Arabidopsis thaliana: one gene and its partners. The protein of the gene in region 2 purifies or fractionates together with the protein of the main gene of each other region. This does not show direct contact. Each region holds a gene or a part of one and is shown on either strand. Other genes may lie near its edges.

What was found.
Region 1: the proteins of AT4G34450 (region 2) and AT4G08140 fractionate together in Arabidopsis thaliana (co-fractionation; one large-scale study listed by BioGRID). This does not show direct contact.
Region 3: the proteins of AT4G34450 (region 2) and AT4G31490 fractionate together in Arabidopsis thaliana (co-fractionation; one large-scale study listed by BioGRID). This does not show direct contact.

The regions. Positions count from the first base shown.
Region 1 is NC_003075.7:5,134,094-5,136,640, reverse strand, and holds AT4G08140 (26S proteasome non-ATPase regulatory subunit-like protein), read right to left. Parts: upstream 969-2,547; coding exon 916-968; intron 781-915; coding exon 660-780; intron 582-659; coding exon 501-581; downstream 1-500.
Region 2 is NC_003075.7:16,468,703-16,476,741, reverse strand, and holds the start of AT4G34450 (coatomer gamma-2 subunit, putative / gamma-2 coat protein, putative / gamma-2 COP), read right to left. Parts: upstream 6,007-8,039; 5' UTR 4,787-6,006; coding exon 4,741-4,786; intron 4,517-4,740; coding exon 4,368-4,516; intron 4,266-4,367; coding exon 4,152-4,265; intron 4,062-4,151; coding exon 3,861-4,061; intron 3,782-3,860; coding exon 3,680-3,781; intron 3,246-3,679; coding exon 3,138-3,245; intron 3,058-3,137; coding exon 2,824-3,057; intron 2,685-2,823; coding exon 2,434-2,684; intron 2,302-2,433; coding exon 2,130-2,301; intron 2,057-2,129; coding exon 1,901-2,056; intron 1,830-1,900; coding exon 1,779-1,829; intron 1,597-1,778; coding exon 1,459-1,596; intron 1,380-1,458; coding exon 1,182-1,379; intron 1,101-1,181; coding exon 969-1,100; intron 885-968; coding exon 711-884; intron 515-710; coding exon 275-514; intron 142-274; coding exon 1-141. Other genes in the region: PERK5 (Protein kinase superfamily protein), read right to left, coding at 7,994-8,039. UniProt on the Arabidopsis thaliana protein: The coatomer is a cytosolic protein complex that binds to dilysine motifs and reversibly associates with Golgi non-clathrin-coated vesicles, which further mediate biosynthetic protein transport from the ER, via the Golgi up to the trans Golgi network.
Region 3 is NC_003075.7:15,266,859-15,273,730, reverse strand, and holds AT4G31490 (Coatomer, beta subunit), read right to left. Parts: upstream 5,286-6,872; 5' UTR 5,092-5,285; exon of another isoform or gene 4,516-5,091; intron 4,283-4,515; 5' UTR 4,272-4,282; coding exon 2,226-4,271; intron 2,008-2,225; coding exon 1,498-2,007; intron 1,403-1,497; coding exon 1,317-1,402; intron 1,243-1,316; coding exon 1,038-1,242; 3' UTR 1,037-1,037; intron 924-1,036; 3' UTR 501-923; downstream 1-500. Other genes in the region: CYP83B1 (cytochrome P450, family 83, subfamily B, polypeptide 1), read left to right, coding at 1-54; AT4G31480 (Coatomer, beta subunit), read right to left, coding at 6,347-6,551, 6,626-6,711, 6,804-6,872. UniProt on the Arabidopsis thaliana protein: The coatomer is a cytosolic protein complex that binds to dilysine motifs and reversibly associates with Golgi non-clathrin-coated vesicles, which further mediate biosynthetic protein transport from the ER, via the Golgi up to the trans Golgi network.

The DNA.
Region 1 (2,547 bases), about 11 Mb from region 2:
ATAAAATAGACCATAACTATGATAATACTTTTACCCAATGTAAACCACTCCAAAATACACTAGTTAACATGCATTTATCACAGTTAAAAAACAGTTAGCTTTTATTGCTTAGACCAATTCAGAGAAATTTTGAGCGCAATAACTAAGAGAGAGCTTTTAAAAGCTTCAAGTTAGTATTAGGTGTTAGAATTTTTTTTTTTTTTTTTTTTTTTTTGATCAAAGGTGTTAGAATTTTATTTAACCATAGAGAACAAATACTTTCTTCTAAGCATTTAAAATATTAATGTAATGCTATCTCAACTCAAAAATATATTGCATTTAAACAGAGAAACAAATAAACTAATCAAAAGCAGACAACAAATAATCAAAACCGGACATCAAATAATCAAAAGCAGACATCAACTAATCAAAAGCAGACATCAAATAATCACATATCAAAAGCAAAATCAACAAATCAAACTCAGACAACAACTACTAGATGAATTAAAGAAGGCTCAGTTCTACCTTCGTGTTATCAAGAAATAGTGCAATCTGTAGAGCGTGGTAAGGGCCAGGACAGACAGGATATCAGAAATGTACTTCTGCAAACATAGCAAATGTAATTTTTAAGCCATACCAATATAAGAATTGTTAATAACTTGAAATCAATGATGACATACCTTGAGATTAGAATCAGCCATTGTTTCATGAAACGCTTTAAGAGTTACATACTGGGGACGCAGAAACTTTAGTGGTTTGGGAACTGAAGTCATTGAACTTGTTAAAGCTCGGATTTCCTGCCTACAAAACCAAAAAAAAATTAAAAACTCCAACAAGGGTAGAACACAAGGAGCAGAAAAGAAAGAAAAACTTTATAAATTATGAGCTTCAAAGACAGTAATCTGAAAACCCGAAGCTAATCAAGTCAAGAATTACCTCATACTCTCAAGAGCAGCCTTCTGCAAGTCCGGATTAGGATCCTGAACCATCTCAACATAGAGCTTAAGGTTCTGCTTTAGTTCCAAATCCTCTTAAGACTACAATCACAACCCAATGTAAGTCGAGTCATTAGTCCTGTGAACATATATAAAAAAAAAAACTCTCCTCACAGCACAAGTTAGCAACTTTTTAATCCGGCTATACTAATGACGAACAAAACATTCACTTTGAACATGCTTATTGTTTTGTTTTTGTATATCTCCTTATGCTTTGTAAAACCACGTACAATACTGTAATTGATATGTTCTCGTAATAAGAAAAGAATACGAACCCACTTAGTCTTCATAATTAGATTCATCATATCGAATCAAAGATGAAAAGATTTATTACAAAAATAAACCAAATTAAAACCGATAAATAAGTTTTTTTCTACTATAGACACAACATTCCAATTGCCATGGTGATTGAACAACCATAGGAAAAAACGATTATCATCTTCATTTCTTCTCTCTTTGTTCTTTTCCATCCTCTCTTTGTTCATTTCCATCTTCATCATTCTAACTTCCTCTTTGTAACGCCCGTGAACCGGAAAATCAGTTAGAGTTTGTTTTTAAATCATCCGGTTTAATTGATTGGGTTAATTGGAAACCTTAGAGTATGCCTATAAAAGAAGTAAACTCGAAATTAGGGCTTTGGTTAGCCACTTTTCGTTTTATAAAGGAGAAAAAGAGAGAAAAGGAGAACGAGCAGAATCGTTAGGGTTTGGGAGAAATCAGTTTCGTCATATCAAATCGTGGTAAAAGGTAACGAAATTTGGCAGAGTTATTCCCAAGTCCTTTATCGTTATTCTCCAATTTACAGAATTGGATTTGGATTCAAATTGGTTGAGTTATTCGCAGTTTCGTGAGACACGTTTTCTCAGACGCGAATTAGGACCAGCGGAGATTGAAACTGAGATCGTGGTCTCGTCTGTTTTCCGATCGGCACGAGATTTTGTGGTCAGCTTTGTGACGTCTGCAGCTAGGATTTCACCGGAGAGATTGAATAGTTAACGGTTAGTTTGTATTTGAGGGTTTCGTCTTTGAGACTGCTTGTTTCTGGTTTTTCCTGTCCAGTTTGCTTCAAGGTTGCTTTTGGTTGTGGACTTTTTGTAGGACGTTTCTGGACTGTTTCAGACGCAAGGAGAGTCTCTCCTGGGTTTAATTGCTATTAGAATCAATTTGTTAAGGTGAGTGCGTGACCATGAGCTTATCTGAGCGATAGGGTTGTGTGATTTGTTTTGTGTGATGATATGTAGGTGTGGTGAATGTGTTTTGGATGAATTGTTCAATGACTGGTTTGTTTGTATTGTATTCGTGATTATACCTTTTTATTTGCTTGTGTGTATAGCTCGTAGATGGGAGGATCGCCTCACTAAGTATTTATGATAATACTTACGCATCTCATTGTGTTGTTGATACAGGTAAAGATAAAGTGTGATCGTGGAATCATGGCAAGGAAGAGAGGATGATCTAGGAACTCGTTTGTTTTATTTTTGGTGTTTTTGGTTATTGGAACCCGGTTAGGATTGTTAGTTATTCTTGGTTTTGTTGGTCGAATTATTTATTTATTCATTAAATAGTATTTTTG
Region 2 (8,039 bases):
TCTAACTGTCAGCTTCATTGCAATGTCCTTTGAGCTGTCCATTCCAAACTGTGCCCTCACTAACACTTTCACGTTGCCTATGTACACACCTGACAATAGACACGTGTGTGACCTTGCATTGAGCGGAATTGTCTCCGTCCCCTGTTATTTATCCAGTGTCAGTTTCAATTTCAGGAACACAACAAATGGTCATATACTCAAAAAAGACTTTATCAACAATAATTTTAGCCCTCAAGTCTCAGTAGAGTATGAGAAAAAAGTGGAAGAGACTAACCTCACAAGTCTGCATGCCAAGAAGATCCATGACAGCCTTTACAGCTTCTCCCAAACTCTCTCTTTGGCCAAGGCCATATTCGTCTACACGCTCATCTTCTTCATCCATGCTTTCCCACGCATTCCTGAAATTGGAGACACCCACTTTCACCATGTAATCTCCAGCTACAACCTCAAGATCCTCTAGCTGGTACTCATCTTCTACTCCATCATCTTCTGCTTCACCTGTGCTTGGGTCAACCTGTTTTAACACATTCATAAAAGCACAAACAATGTAGTTAGAGAGTTTTCTTTGTTTTCTGTGATTAATTTGAGTCGTTCTGGTACTCCTCTCCAAATGAGTCGTTGTTTATAAGAGTTCTCCACAAAGTATTATGGGGTCATTTTCAGTGTAAGTAAATAAAAAGATGGAAGTGAATAGCCTATTTAACATGTACCTCCTTAACAACGAAAGTCAATGTGTTGGAGAACTTTCCAACAGCAGGGACCCCAGCTGGCTTCTCAAAAACCACAAAGGCTTGACCGGGTGAATCGTAAGGAAGTGAGTTTAGGGCCTTTGAAGTTACTTCACTGAATTCCTCAGCTTCTGAAGCATCTACAATGACATTGACCTACAACCCCATGCCAAATTAATTAAATGAGGAAAGAAAGATAAGATATGCTTGACACTAATATTCTACACCAATGTTCAGTACCCTCTCCAACAACTGCTCTGGTATTGTGTTAGTGCAGTTGTACTGAAACACCACATGACTGTCAAAGATATGCTTAACAACATTGACAGCGTATTCTGTTTCTGCTTCAGTTAGCTCCACAGGTAAAGAAGACTGAAAAAGAAAGTACAAGTTAAAGCAAACAAGATAAGCCATTAACATTAGAATAACACAGAAGACAAATCAGCCCCTAACCTTGAAAAGTTTTCCAAAGGCGGCAAACTCTGGAATGGATGAGAGAAGTCTTTCATAGCCATCAAAACCAGAAGCAGGTGCAGCTGGTGGTGCACCAAGACCAGTGGGCTTTTTACCCTGGGCTTTCTTCTCTGCAAGGGGCTGAGATTTAACTTCCTTAGGTACGGAGTTGATATCAAAAGCTTCTTCAGAGGGCTCCTGCAGGAATCCCAGATATAAGATAACTGATGTCCTAAGAATATTGAAAAGGAGAAAACCGAGAAATAGATTAACTCACATAATTCTTCAGACTAGTTTCCATGTTGACTAGAGGAACCTCCAGGGAACCAAATAGGAAATCCTTGCTCTCTTTATCAGTGTCAACAGTACCATCACCACCAAGAACACTCAAATATAGTGTTGCCCTATCACGGACCTTAAGATAAAAAGATGTCTGACTCATGAGCAAGGAAGGAATCATCAAACAACTTGCATTGCATGCATCCGAAAATGTTTACAGAGGCAAACACATGCATGCATGTTTGATGATGCAACGACTCAAAACAAACAGACATACAGAAACAGCAATGCTTTTCTAGACTAAGACTAGGAACGCACCTCATCATCACTGTCATAGATGCAACGCTTCAATAGAACAGTAATCCGGGGCTGTCGAGCATTATCATCAGTCAAAGAAGATAAACGGAAAATAAAAATAATGGTTGTTATGATGACTATACCTTCAAGGATTCAACCATAAACCCAAACTTTGCAAGTGTGGAAACAGCAGCAGCCCGGACAGTGGCGTTTTCTAGATGCACACGATTATATATATATCGTATATACTTGCTTGGATCTGAGGTGTTAGGCCCCTCAATTCCCAGAAAATGAAGGATCTGTGCGAGAATAAACATTTCAATAACACATAAGTTTTTAATAGCAACCCCAGATGGATGATGGAATAATTACCTGTGTTGAAAGATATGTGAATTCACAATCTTCAATGAATTCACATAGATGAAGCAGTCCACTTTCCTTTGCATCCGGAATATCTCTGATAATGGTCACAATAGAATCTACTATTGCTCTTTTATACTCAAATCCACCTTCTTCCCTAAGAATGTTGCTTAAGAAGGTCATCCTACAAATGAAAAGGTGATAGATCAATCATAAGCCAAATGCTAAAAAGATACCATAACATATTTAATCATTCAAAAAAATAGAAATGCTCGAGACCAAAACTACAAATAACAAACCCTAAAACTTTACTTACAAGGATCTGTATTTCAGTGGGAATTTCACACACAACGATCTTATTGCGTCCACGACCACAATTTTGAACTCATCAGCAATATCTGACATAAAATTAGTTATCTGCTTCATCAAACGTTCTACACTTGATTCGTTCCCTGTTTTCAATAGTGTGGTTATTGCGAGTGTAGCAATGCTTCTATTTTGATCAGAGATTAAACTCTCCATATCAATGTTGCAGTTGGTGACAGCCATAGGATGAGTCATTGCAACCTGTGGTTCAAACTTGTGTTTAGTATACAGTGAAATATCTCCTCATCCTCATGATAAAGGTAATGATGAATCTACCCAGAATAGTAAAACATCATTTCGGTGTCAATGTACAAAGAGAACAGTTGAAAGCATTGCAAACCTTGTTCAGAGTCCGGACAGCGGCAAATCTCAACACTGGTCTGGGGGAACTCAAAAAGAGCTGAAGAACAGTGATTGCTGGAGTCAGTTCTCGGCTTGTCACACCATCAAGCTCAGTAATTGCCCTGGCAGCCTCAAGGATCACCATTTCTGCCTTATGGCGCAGGCAACTCTCCAAAAATTCATAGAACGGACGTTCTCCAGATTGACCGTGGTTGGCCATGTCACGGATAACCTGAATATTAGAAACCAGAGCTAAATAACACATATACAATCAGCCACTTATCAAATGATCAAACAGAAGAGAGGAATAACCTGGCTGGTGTAACGTATCAAAAGACACTGAGCCAAGGGAGAGCGGACAGATCCCCTGGTCAAGCTACCAACCAATTTGCTAACAGCCAAGCGATCATTTTGGCGTATCTGAATATGATGAAAGATTATCAAGTTGATCAAAGATTGACAGTTATTAGATCAAAGATTGAGAGTGTATCATGTTGGGAGTCATTTTAAATCAACGTAACAGCAGCAATACATATCATTTGGTAACTCGTACATCTTAGACACATAAATAGGTTGTCCTAACCAACCTAATTAGTTACATATGCTAGAATCAGCAGTATCTGAGACAGACTCCAGACACAGATTAAACCTCACAAGAAACTAAAATTGCTGGAAAAGGCCGTAGTAAAGAGCTACGATGCTGCTACAGAAAACTTATTATTTATGAATCTAGTCCAATACACATAGTAACACCTCTCATTTTCCGAGATACTTCTTCTCAGTGGCTGTTTAATTAAACAAAGAGTAGAAACATAGACCAATCGACTTCGGTGATAATAATGCAACAAACTAACCTGATGGAGCAAAGCTAGGGCATGGAACTGAACAAGGGCTGATCTGGATTGAATACCTTCTTGAACTTCATTGCTCCATCTTTTAACAATTTCTGGGTTTGTCTGAAAACAGCAATATACGAATATAAGCATAACATTACAATTAAGAAGCTACCTAATAGTTTTGGTGTGTAAAAGGTACCTTGAGCAAGTGAAGCCCACTGACTAAAGCTGCACTTGAAACAACGGGATTCTTATCCACAATGGCTTGTTTCAAGTATCGCTCAATCTGAGTGAGAAGGGTTCCGTCTATTATCCGGCAGAGGACACGGATAGCATTTGCTCGATACATATCAATTTTACTATTCATATCCTTCATCAGAGAGCTTGTTACGATGATAACCTATGGGCGAAAAAACCAACAACTTATCAGAAAATATACCTACAATAAGTGCGACGATGTTCGTATTGAAATTGAGTAAAATTTACAGACCTCATCAGATGATGGAGATAACTCCTTAATGATCAAGTAGACCATTCTCCTCAAACCCGTGTCTTTTGATTGAAAAAGCTTTGTAACTGAAAAGAAAACTTCCGTTGCTTCAACCTGCATATGAAACAAACAACCATCGCGAGAGGATAAGAACACAATAATTCAATTCTCCATAAGCATGACATCGAATCAGTATAAGCAAAAAAATTAACTGACCTTGGTGAATGACTCCCCTTGGTTAAGCAAATAAAGAAGCTTCGTAATGACCTGGGAGCATCGTCTAGGATCAACCTGAGGGTCATTAAAGACTCTAGCCTCTTGAAGAACCGCTCCTTTCTCAATTCCCATGAATGGAGAATACTCCACTGATCCAACAAAAAATCAGAAATCGAAATAAGCAAAGCAATTCACACCGGGATCGAATGCGGTAAACAAAACTAAATCGGACTTGAGATTGTAGATCTACACAACCAAATCACAATCACGACTGTTGAATGATAACAGATCTAGAAGCTTAACATCTGGATCTACATTTTGCAGAAAACCAGCTGATTCGAAAATTATAAGGAGATTAAGAGAGAACACATACACTCATCGTCGTGATCATCGTCTTTCTTCACGAGGGGTTGCGCCATTTCTGATCTCGAAAACCTCCCTTTGAAATTACTCCGTCACTCAGATCTCGCGCTTTCTGTTTCCTTTATCTTCAGATGCAACAGGAGAAAGAAGAAGATCTCTAATCGTTTTCTTCTACTATATGTTTTTGAGTCAGAGAACTCAGAAACTGTGAGAGATCGATAGAGAAAGTGAACTTTTCGAAGCGGCCCAATAGCCCATACCCAAACAAAAAATATTAAAGAAATACTAAGATTATTTTTTTTTTGTCCCAAGAGAAATATTGTATTAATCAAGATAGTCAAAGCTTAAAGAAAAGTCCGCGATTACAGAAACGATTTAGGACCAAATAGGCCAACAGAGAGTCTTTCATAGAAGAAGAAACTATAGTTTGACTCTATCCCAAACCACATGTCGATATATTAATATACGTGTCAGATGAGTACTCTAAAGCGAACCGACTTCATTTTCGCCGTCTGAGCACCGATTTCGGTGAAAGAATCACCGTCGATAGTCTCATAGAACATGGATCTTTTTGTTTTTTCACCGATAAAAAGCAATCGAGGCTCATGTTAAATATACAACAGCTTAAGGCTATGATAATTAACAACAGAATCCACTTCTTTTCTTCAACATCATTCTCAAATTTCTCCAAAAATTTCTGTAAATCAAAACTTAAAAAAGAACAGATCGGATAAGAAGCATTAGAAAGCGAGATTGCATTCACTCTATCACCAACATGTCTCAGATGAGAATTATTAAAAACAAAACATGAAAATAAAAAAACACAGATTAAAAATCGATCTACATCGACGAGAGAAACCAAGAGCCAGCAACCACCGGTTATGTGAACAAGACGCTGCCGGACTAGAGCCAACCAACACCGCTACCAGAGCCGGTGATATCGGACAGAAAGCCCAAAAAGTCAGGACGGCTAACACCAGAAAATATCCGATCGTTGAAACTGATTTGCTTTCTCTCTAAAAAAAATATAAGCGAGAGAACAGAGAGGTTTTGCCCGTTCCCCTAATTATTTCGAATTATAAAATACAACACCAATTAAAAATAATAAAATTTTGGTATTCATATACGTTATAGATACCATAACTTGGTATAAATTAAGGCTTTGTACTCTGCATTTCAACAAAATCACACACTAATTTCTTTTGGTCAATTATTACAACATGTCATTTAAAAATATTTTGATTCTAAACAAAATAGCAAACTATTTAAATTATATATAAATCATATTGAACCTATAAACACCTCTTACAGGTTTGAATGTTATATTCAATTAGTTTACACAAAATTTTAATTTTTTACACTTAACAAAAAAAAATTTAAAATCTTAATAGTAAAATAAAAATAGAAACATTTTTTAATATAAGAAAAATTAAATTATATGTAAACCATATTGAACCTAACCTCTTAGGAGTTAAGATTTATCCAATTAGTTTACACAAAATTAAAAAAAAAACTTAAGATCTTAATAGTAATAGAAAAATATAGGTTTAAAACATTTTTTAATATAAGGAAAACAAGTGTTAAAACTTTAAATAATGTGTAAACCATATTGAAACTAGAACACTATTTAGGGGTTTGGATGATGTATCCAATTAGCTTACACAAATTTAAATATTTAACACTTAATAAAAAAACTTAAAACTTTAATAGTAGTATAAAAATAAAGGTTTAAAACATATTTTTGATATAAGAAAAACAAGTGTTAAAAATTTAAATAATGTGTAAACCATATTGAACCTAGAACACCTCTTAGGGGTTTGGATGATGTATCCAATTAGTTTACACAAAATTTAAAAATTCAACACTTAATAAAAAAAAACTTCAAATTTTAATAGTAGTATAAAAATTTAGGTTTAAAAACATTTATTTAATAAATATAAAAAACAAGTGTTAAAAATTTAAATGATGTGTAAACCATCTATTGAACCTAGAACACCTCTTAGGGGATTGGATGATGTATCCAATTAGTTTACACAAAATTTAAAAATTTAATATTTAATAAGAAAAACCTTAAAACTTTAATAGTAGTATAAAAATATAGGTTTAAAAACAGTTTTTAATAAAAACAAAAACAAGTGTTAAAAATTTAAATTAATTTACACAAAATTGAAAATTTTAACACTTAATAAAAAAATCTAAAAATAAATTTTTATTTAGTAAAAAATGAATCATTAAAAATAGAAAAGGAAAAAAGAAAATACCTTTGCTTGTGATATCGACGAAACACAAGATTTTCAAAAGATCTCGTCGACGCCAAGGAAACACCTAGTACCAAACACAGATCATGATCCATTGATTTGGTTCTATACTGCTCGTTGCTTTCATTGTCCATGTCTTCGTTATATCCCTCTTTCCCACTTTCGCATCCTTAGTCGTCGTTTGTGTTCTCCTTCGCCGTCGACAACTGAATCCATGGCCGGGATCTTTGATCTTGTGAAATTAGGAGAGACTTGATATGAAAGCAATCTGAATTGACCTAAGATGTAGTCACAACAGAGATCAATCACCAAAAAGAGCCGCTTTATCAACCGATCAATCTTACGGTGAAGTTGAAGCAGAGAATGGAGAATTAGGTTTTGGTTTGGAAGAAGAAGAGAGAATGGAGAATTTGGATTTCTCAAGAAAGAAGAGGTATATATAAGTAAAGGTTTGTTCAATCTTACGGTGAAGTTGAAGCAGAGAATGGAGAATTAGTAAGATCGCGTCTTCTCCACGTCAATATTTAGATTCAGAGCAAATCCTTACGTGGTTTAGGTTTCCAGGAAGAAGAAGAGAGAATGGAGACTTTTCTCAAGGAAGAAGAGAGAAGGGGTGTATTTATAAGTACACGTTTGTTCAATGAAAAAAGGAAATTTTGATTGTTTCCTTTTCTTATTTGAGTAGCAGAAACAAAAAGGAAATTTTATCACAACGGTAACAAAAGGATACGCCTAACCCTAACCGTATCACACTTTTAGAATCTCATAATTATATAAGACCAATAATAAACAATCTTGATAAATTCCACGTATTTATGGATTAAGGCTTTGTACTAAACATTTCAACAAAACCACACTCTAATCTCTTTTGGTCAAAAATTACTCCTACAAACATCATAATTTTGTGACTGTCAAAAACTGCACGTCTTTGATGCAGAATGAACAAACAATGAAAGAAAAACAGAGAAGAAAACTGAAATATTATGACAAGTGTTGTCTCTTCTTTCAAAGCTGAGGATTGCGTTTCATTGAGCCTCTATTCATTTCTTCA
Region 3 (6,872 bases), 1.2 Mb from region 2:
CTCGCTATGCACAAGAAAGAACACCTCGTTCTTGCACCAACGAAACACATCTGATGCTATATATATCATTAGGACGTTTCTGCTGGTAGATATGGCGTGACCAATGGTTATTTTTCATTGCAATATCCCTTTTTGTTTTAATGAGTACTATGTTCTCATTTTAACGAATAAAAATGTATCAGTGCTCTTGTTTTTGGACTAGAAAAGAAAGTAGTCCGATGTTTAATATTCGGGTCCCTTTAATATTCCCTCTGGTTTACAATATTTTAAGCTATCTTAGTAAACATCTATAATGTGAATATATGACTAGAAAACAAAAACATGTCGCTAACAAACAATAATATGAATTTATGACGAAGAAACCAACATGTTGCTAAAAACAATAATATGAATACATGAGGAAGTTTCGTTGACAATGATAAGTAGTGGAAGACTTGACTTTGGATAGCATCTTGCCAATATGTTGTCCTACGTCACATACGAAAGAAAAGTAGGAAAAGAAAAACTTTTGTTCTGCGAAAAGAGAGAACCACGAAAGGCAAGAAAAAAAAAAACAGAAGTAGAGATCGTATATGAAATGACGAGTCTAAAATGGAACAAACCCATGTAACTTTGAAATCTACTATTGATAACGCGTTCAACAGTTCAGTCTCCTCGATAAACAAGATTATAGAAGAAAAAGTATTACAAATAAAACAAAATCGTCTAGTACTGTAAAAAGACAGCCGGTTGAGGAAGAATCCATCGGTACCATACCGGAAAATATACCGGCTTAGGAAGAATAATAACAAATTACTCTTTACATATCCTTTAAACGACTCTTCTCTCCATGTAGTAAACAGAATCAACCAACGAAAAATTGCTCAAGAGAGAAACGTAGCCTAAACCTTTTACCTTTTACCTTGCACGCTATCATTCCAAGCCTGTGAGAAATCATCGTTATGGTAATGAAAATTAGACCAATTAAAAGTTTAAGGATTCAAACATTTATGGATTGCATTGAGAGATAGAAAATGTTTCCAAAAGATTAGCTAACCTCAGCTACCACCCTTTTGTTTGAGGGTGATTTTGTCTCCAAGACTTAGAGCAATCCCTTGCGTCTTGCTCCTTATCCTTATGTAACCACTCAATGTTCCATCCGTTTGCTTCTCAATACTCAAATTCACAAGAGCATCCTCACCAAACACACTTTTTGCATATAAGTTTGCTGCAAGGAATCCACATTCACCTGCTATTGCAGATCTGCAAGTAAAGAAGTATTAATTAGTAAGACGAGTTTTTCGTTTCTACAGGATGAAAGAAGAATTTACACTTACGGAGCAGTGAGACATTTCATGTTTGTGGATTTGATAATGTGGTCGAGGAATTCTCTTTCGTTTTGAATTGTGGTGTTCACAGCAACCTGACATGAATAATACAACAGGCAATGGTTATACCAAAATCTAACAAACAAACAAACAAAGAAGGTAATACTTTTAAAAGGTTTCGGTAAATTACCTTGTTTTCCCATTCAAACTCTGCCCACATAGTTCTGAAAGCAACCTCTGAGCACACAGCAGGGGAGATATAGTCCATGATATCAATGTGTATGTCGTTAAGAACCACAACATTGCGCTCCATTACATTTGATGTCTCATAGACGATGTTCCCGAATATGACTCCTGTCTCTGTGGACGAGACCTTGATGTTTGCTTTAATCTGCATGCTTCTTTCAGGTGCCAGACTATAGTTCTGAGGACGCTCAACAAGTTTGAGATCACCCATGGTTGCTAACTCCAAGCACAAGTTCTGAAGGGTTTCCTTGGTTCGGTTGATTACTGTAACTTCAAGAGCAATATCATAATGGTGTACCGTTACATATGCTTCAGCATAGACTGGGTCACTGAATCCTGTGAGTTGAAGAATGCGGTTAAGTTTGTTAGCATCGTTCTCGTCCTTGGTGAATTCTCCAGTTGCACGCTTTAGGTCATCTTGTACCTGGTCTTCCAACTCAAGTTGACTCATTCCCTGAAAGAAATTTATCATCAGTAAGCTCATCTACAGACCAAAAGAAATAAACATAACATGCCATTATATACTTTTGCCATCTTTCTTTAAAAATGGAGAAAAAATCGGATATGAACTGTAAGAGAAAGCAGATAAAAACTAAACAGAGTGCGAAGGAAAATCATAAGGAAAAGAACACACAATAAAGCGAGGGAAAGCTTAGAAAATAATAATATTACCTTCCGACTCTTTAGATGGAAGAAGTCAATTAGATCATCCGGTTGAGCATGAGTTGTTTGGGTCTTTGCCTTCAGTTCCTCCATCTCTCTAAGCTGTTTTTCAGAAATCATCTTGACAAAACTCTGGCGGCAGGATTCCAACCATATCTTTTTCATCTCAACATTCCTATGGCAAAGCAATTTTATGCACAACATAATCCGCTCATACGAATCATTATCAATAGGGTGTGGAGAAACAGGAGATTGCCCAAGTTGCAAAATAGAAACCATGATTAGCAAAGCCTGTGATACTGTCTTGTTTACTTCAGTTTTGGAAGACTGAACCTCTTCCAACCTAAGAACAAGTTTGGTCAACGTGCAAGCAACCACAGCTCCGAGGAAAAAATCACCAGTTAGAAGGAGTGCCCTCAAATTTCCAGAAGTCAGTGATCCTTGAACAACTGTAGGCGAGGAGAATGTGGTTTCAGAGGCTGCGCTTTGTGTAGCATAAGTTCCATCAGCAAGAATAACTGGCTTTCTAGAGGACACCATGGCAGAAGAGGTAGGCTGAATCTTCTTTGATGTCTCAGTTGGCTCAGACTCCTCAGAAACAGAGTAAAATGGTAATTCGCCAAGGCATTGTGTAATAGTTGAAATGCCACTCTCAACTTCTGAAAGTGATAGGCAATACTCACCAATGATCCAAAGTGCACAAGGGCAGACCTTTCCTGCACGGATCTGATAGAACGTGTCCAACAACCTGGTGATGATTGAAACTCTCAACTTGGGATTTGTTTCTATTATCTCTCTAACGAAAACAACCACGTCAAGAGCTGAAGCCACGTTGCTATCTCCCAGGAAATCCATCAGAAGATGGACCACTGTGCTTGCAACTTCGGGGAACTTAACTGCACAAGCATGGATGGCTTGAATAAGCATTTGCCTGTACTCTCCATTCTTCTCAAGTTCTCCACTCTGTGTCTTCACAACTTCTTTCTTCAACATTTGAACGACTTCATTAATATTATGATGGGTAATCAAGTCAAGGGCAATGTCAAGTGTCTTCCTGCGGATATCAAGGTTTGGGCTTGAGAGTGCTCTGAGCACATCGATTATCAGCTCAACCATGATATCTCTGTGCAATGTCTTAAGCTCATACAACCGATCGAGCAAGATAAGCTTCACATTGTTGTCACTCTGAGAAAGAAGAAGTTGGCAGTAGGTGTTGGCAGCAGCTCGAATAGCAGTAGGGGCAGATGAGAGAGAAACAAGTGTCCCAGCACATTCATAGATAACTGCAGAAGAAGTAGCACTTAACAGAGAAATAATAATTTTAATATATTTTCCCTTCTCCGCTGGTTTAGTCTTACACACACTTCGAATCAGCTCCAGCACCACCATCTGAAGTGATTCATTCCAGTCTGAAACCTTGTCAACATTGCTCAGAAGATAATTCACTGCACGTTCTTCGGCACAGGTAAAGAGCATTAGAAATGCATTTCTCTTGGCAGAAGGATCTTGTTCTGTTGATAGAACTTTCTCGATCATTTCAGGTGCATCCACGAAGAGTTGGTCGCCATGTGGAAGTTTATATATCGACATGATTGCCAGAATTGCATTCCTGCGAACAAATGGATGGCGATGCTCCAGATTTTGTAACACTGATGGAGTCAAAGGTTCCACTATTTCAGTCTCCTTCATCCGACAGAGAAACCTCAGTGTCACTCCACGGATGTACTCATTCGGATGCTGAAGGTTATTACGAAGATTCTGGCATATCAAAATCATTTCAGGCAACACCTTCCCCTTCGAATCTGTCTTTTCAATCAGCTCCAGGTACAGCAACAGAAGCTTTTGGATGGTGTGGTCTTCAGAAGGCAGCACATATCTTATAATGGTAATGAAAAGCTGAGGAATGGTTTCACCATTCAGCAAAAGCATAATTGCCTTCTTCATGGCATCAACTTTAGCTTCAACATCATTTCCTTCGAGAGCTTCTTTAATCTCATTAGCAACTGCTGGAGTCCCTTTGTCATAGTGAACAAGCATGGTACTAGATTTGTCCATCTTTTCAGGTGCTGCACAAAGAGTGAAAAATAAAATAAAATTGTGAGCTCATATGAAAAGGAAAAATCATGCAAGAACAAGTGTACCTATGTTAACATAAGAAATTCAAAGCGAATAGAGAATAGGAACCTAAAATACTGAAAATCGATTTAAAGATAAAATGAAGTAGTATAGATCACAGGTAACAATCAATATATCCAAAATTTTAAGAATTTTCTTTTAATTACTAAGTTAGTATAAGCACCTTACTAGTATCTTCATCACTGCTCGAGTAAGTTCTAAACAAGAAGTTTCAGAGTATCCCCATAATACTACTCAGCAATAATAATCTACACCTCTCTACATATATTTCAGTACAATGAAGAAAGCATCTATGTTCTCAAATCCACGGTATATGAGAAAGCATCATAATCGCTGAAGAATATTCGGTAATGTCTAATCAACGACCCAAAGATGCAAGACATTGACAAATTCAAATCCTCAGATCCAGCAATACACATCACTTTTACTACAACTACGACCAAAACATTAACATAAAATCGAATAATAAAAAAGCTTCGGATCAACCAAAGTTCATATCACAAATGCAATATATCTCCCCAGATTTGATGAACAAACAATGGAATCTACATAGTTCGCAGTCTCACTCAGCTGCACAAACATGAAAATCGTTTGCCTACCGGGATCGGATCAATATTCAACGAGATCAAGCAAAGAACGCCAGAGAATATTGAACATTGTAGATTTTCACAAAGGAAAAGCAAAAGTGGGATCGATCTCTACGAAATCTGAGTCGCAAGTTTAACAGATAGAGACGAACCTCAAGGTAGGAGATCCACGGAGTAACAAAGCTTTGGATCCGTTAGAAGATTTTGGATCTCGGAAAAAAAAACACTCGCACAAAGTGAGAGATTATGAAATGTCCTTAATATTATCGTGGATTCGTCTTCCCTTGTGTTTACTCCTCCAAATCCGATTTTGTTTTTTAGTTTTTTTTCCTTCTGTTTGGAAAACGAAGAACGGAAAGAAGCGAGTCAACCTCGCAGGCCCAAATATTGATTGTTGACAAGCCCAGTCCAATAGAAGTTGAGAAAGCATAGCCCCTACTTTTTTATTGTTTCCAAAACGACCCCAAACTTTTAAAAGTGAGCGTAATTAGGAATTATGTCAGTTTTTCCTTGAAACGTGCTCCAACTTTCGGTTAGAGATGGATGATTTTATGATAGAAGATGATGTATTTGGATCTTTCCTCTTCTACTCGCGTCTAGTATTTTCTTGTCTAATGATGTTAGCGATATCTAGTTACGCGAATGTGTATGTGATCGTCCCTTGGTACCTTGAGGCAAGTGATTTAAGATTATTAAATTTTGCTTAAAAATTATTGCTTGGTTTTCTTGAGAATAGAAAAGGCTGTAAGAATCAAATGTTATGGGTTTGGTTGTGAAGCAATTGGTTTCTTTGGCTTGTAGATTTTGAATATGGTCCATATTAATACATGCGTTTCATTACAACTTACTTGCTAACATAACCCGTATTATATAGCTACTAGCAAATTAAAGTCTAGCTTTGACAATTGAATAGTTCACTTCAAATGCATATGAAAGAAAAGAATAGAGATCAAATCTGAAATGACGAGTTCTAAAATGGAGCAAACCAAATGTAGCTTTGAAATCTACAATATCATAAAGTTCACGGTTTAAAGTCCTCAACAAACGACATTATAGAAGAAAAAGCATTACAAATAAAACAAAATCGTCTAGTACAGTAAAAAACACACTGCCATATGAGATGAAGAAATCCATCGGTACCATACCAGAAAATATACCGGTTAAGTAAGAACGATAGCCAATTACTCTTTTTACATATACCCTTGAACGCCTCCTCCCTCCATATAATAAGCAGATTCAACCAACGATAATTGCTCAAGAGAAACGTACGTAGTCTAAACCTGTTACCTTTGCACGCCACTGTGAGAAATCATCGGTATGGTACTGAAATTTAGACCAATTGCGGTTTAAGGATTAAAACATGTATTAATCGAGAAATAGAATATGTTTTGAAAAGATTAGCTAACCTCAGCTACTACCCTTTTGTTTGAGGGTGATTTTGTCCCCAAGACTTAGGGCAATCCCTTGCGTCTTGCTCCTTATCCTTATGTAACCACTCAATGCTCCATCCGTTTGCTTCTCAATACTCACATTCACAAGAGCATCCTCACCAAATACACTTTTTGCGTATAAGTTTGCTGCAAGGAATCCACATTCGCCTTCTATTGCGGATCTGCAAGTAAAGAAGTATTAATTAGTAAGAAGAGTTTTTCGTTTCTACAGGATGAAAGAAGAATTTACACTTACGGAGCAGTGAGACATTTCATGTTTGTAGATTTGATAATGTGGTCGAGGAATTCTCTTTCGTTTTGTATTGTGGTGTTCACAGCAACCTGACATAAAGAATACAACAGGAATTGGTTATACCAAACTCCAACAAACATACGAAAAGAAGGTACAACTATAAAAGGTTTCAATAAATTACCTTGTTTTCCCATTCGAACTCTGCCCACATAGTTCTGAAAGCAACCTCTGAACACACAGCAGGGGAGAT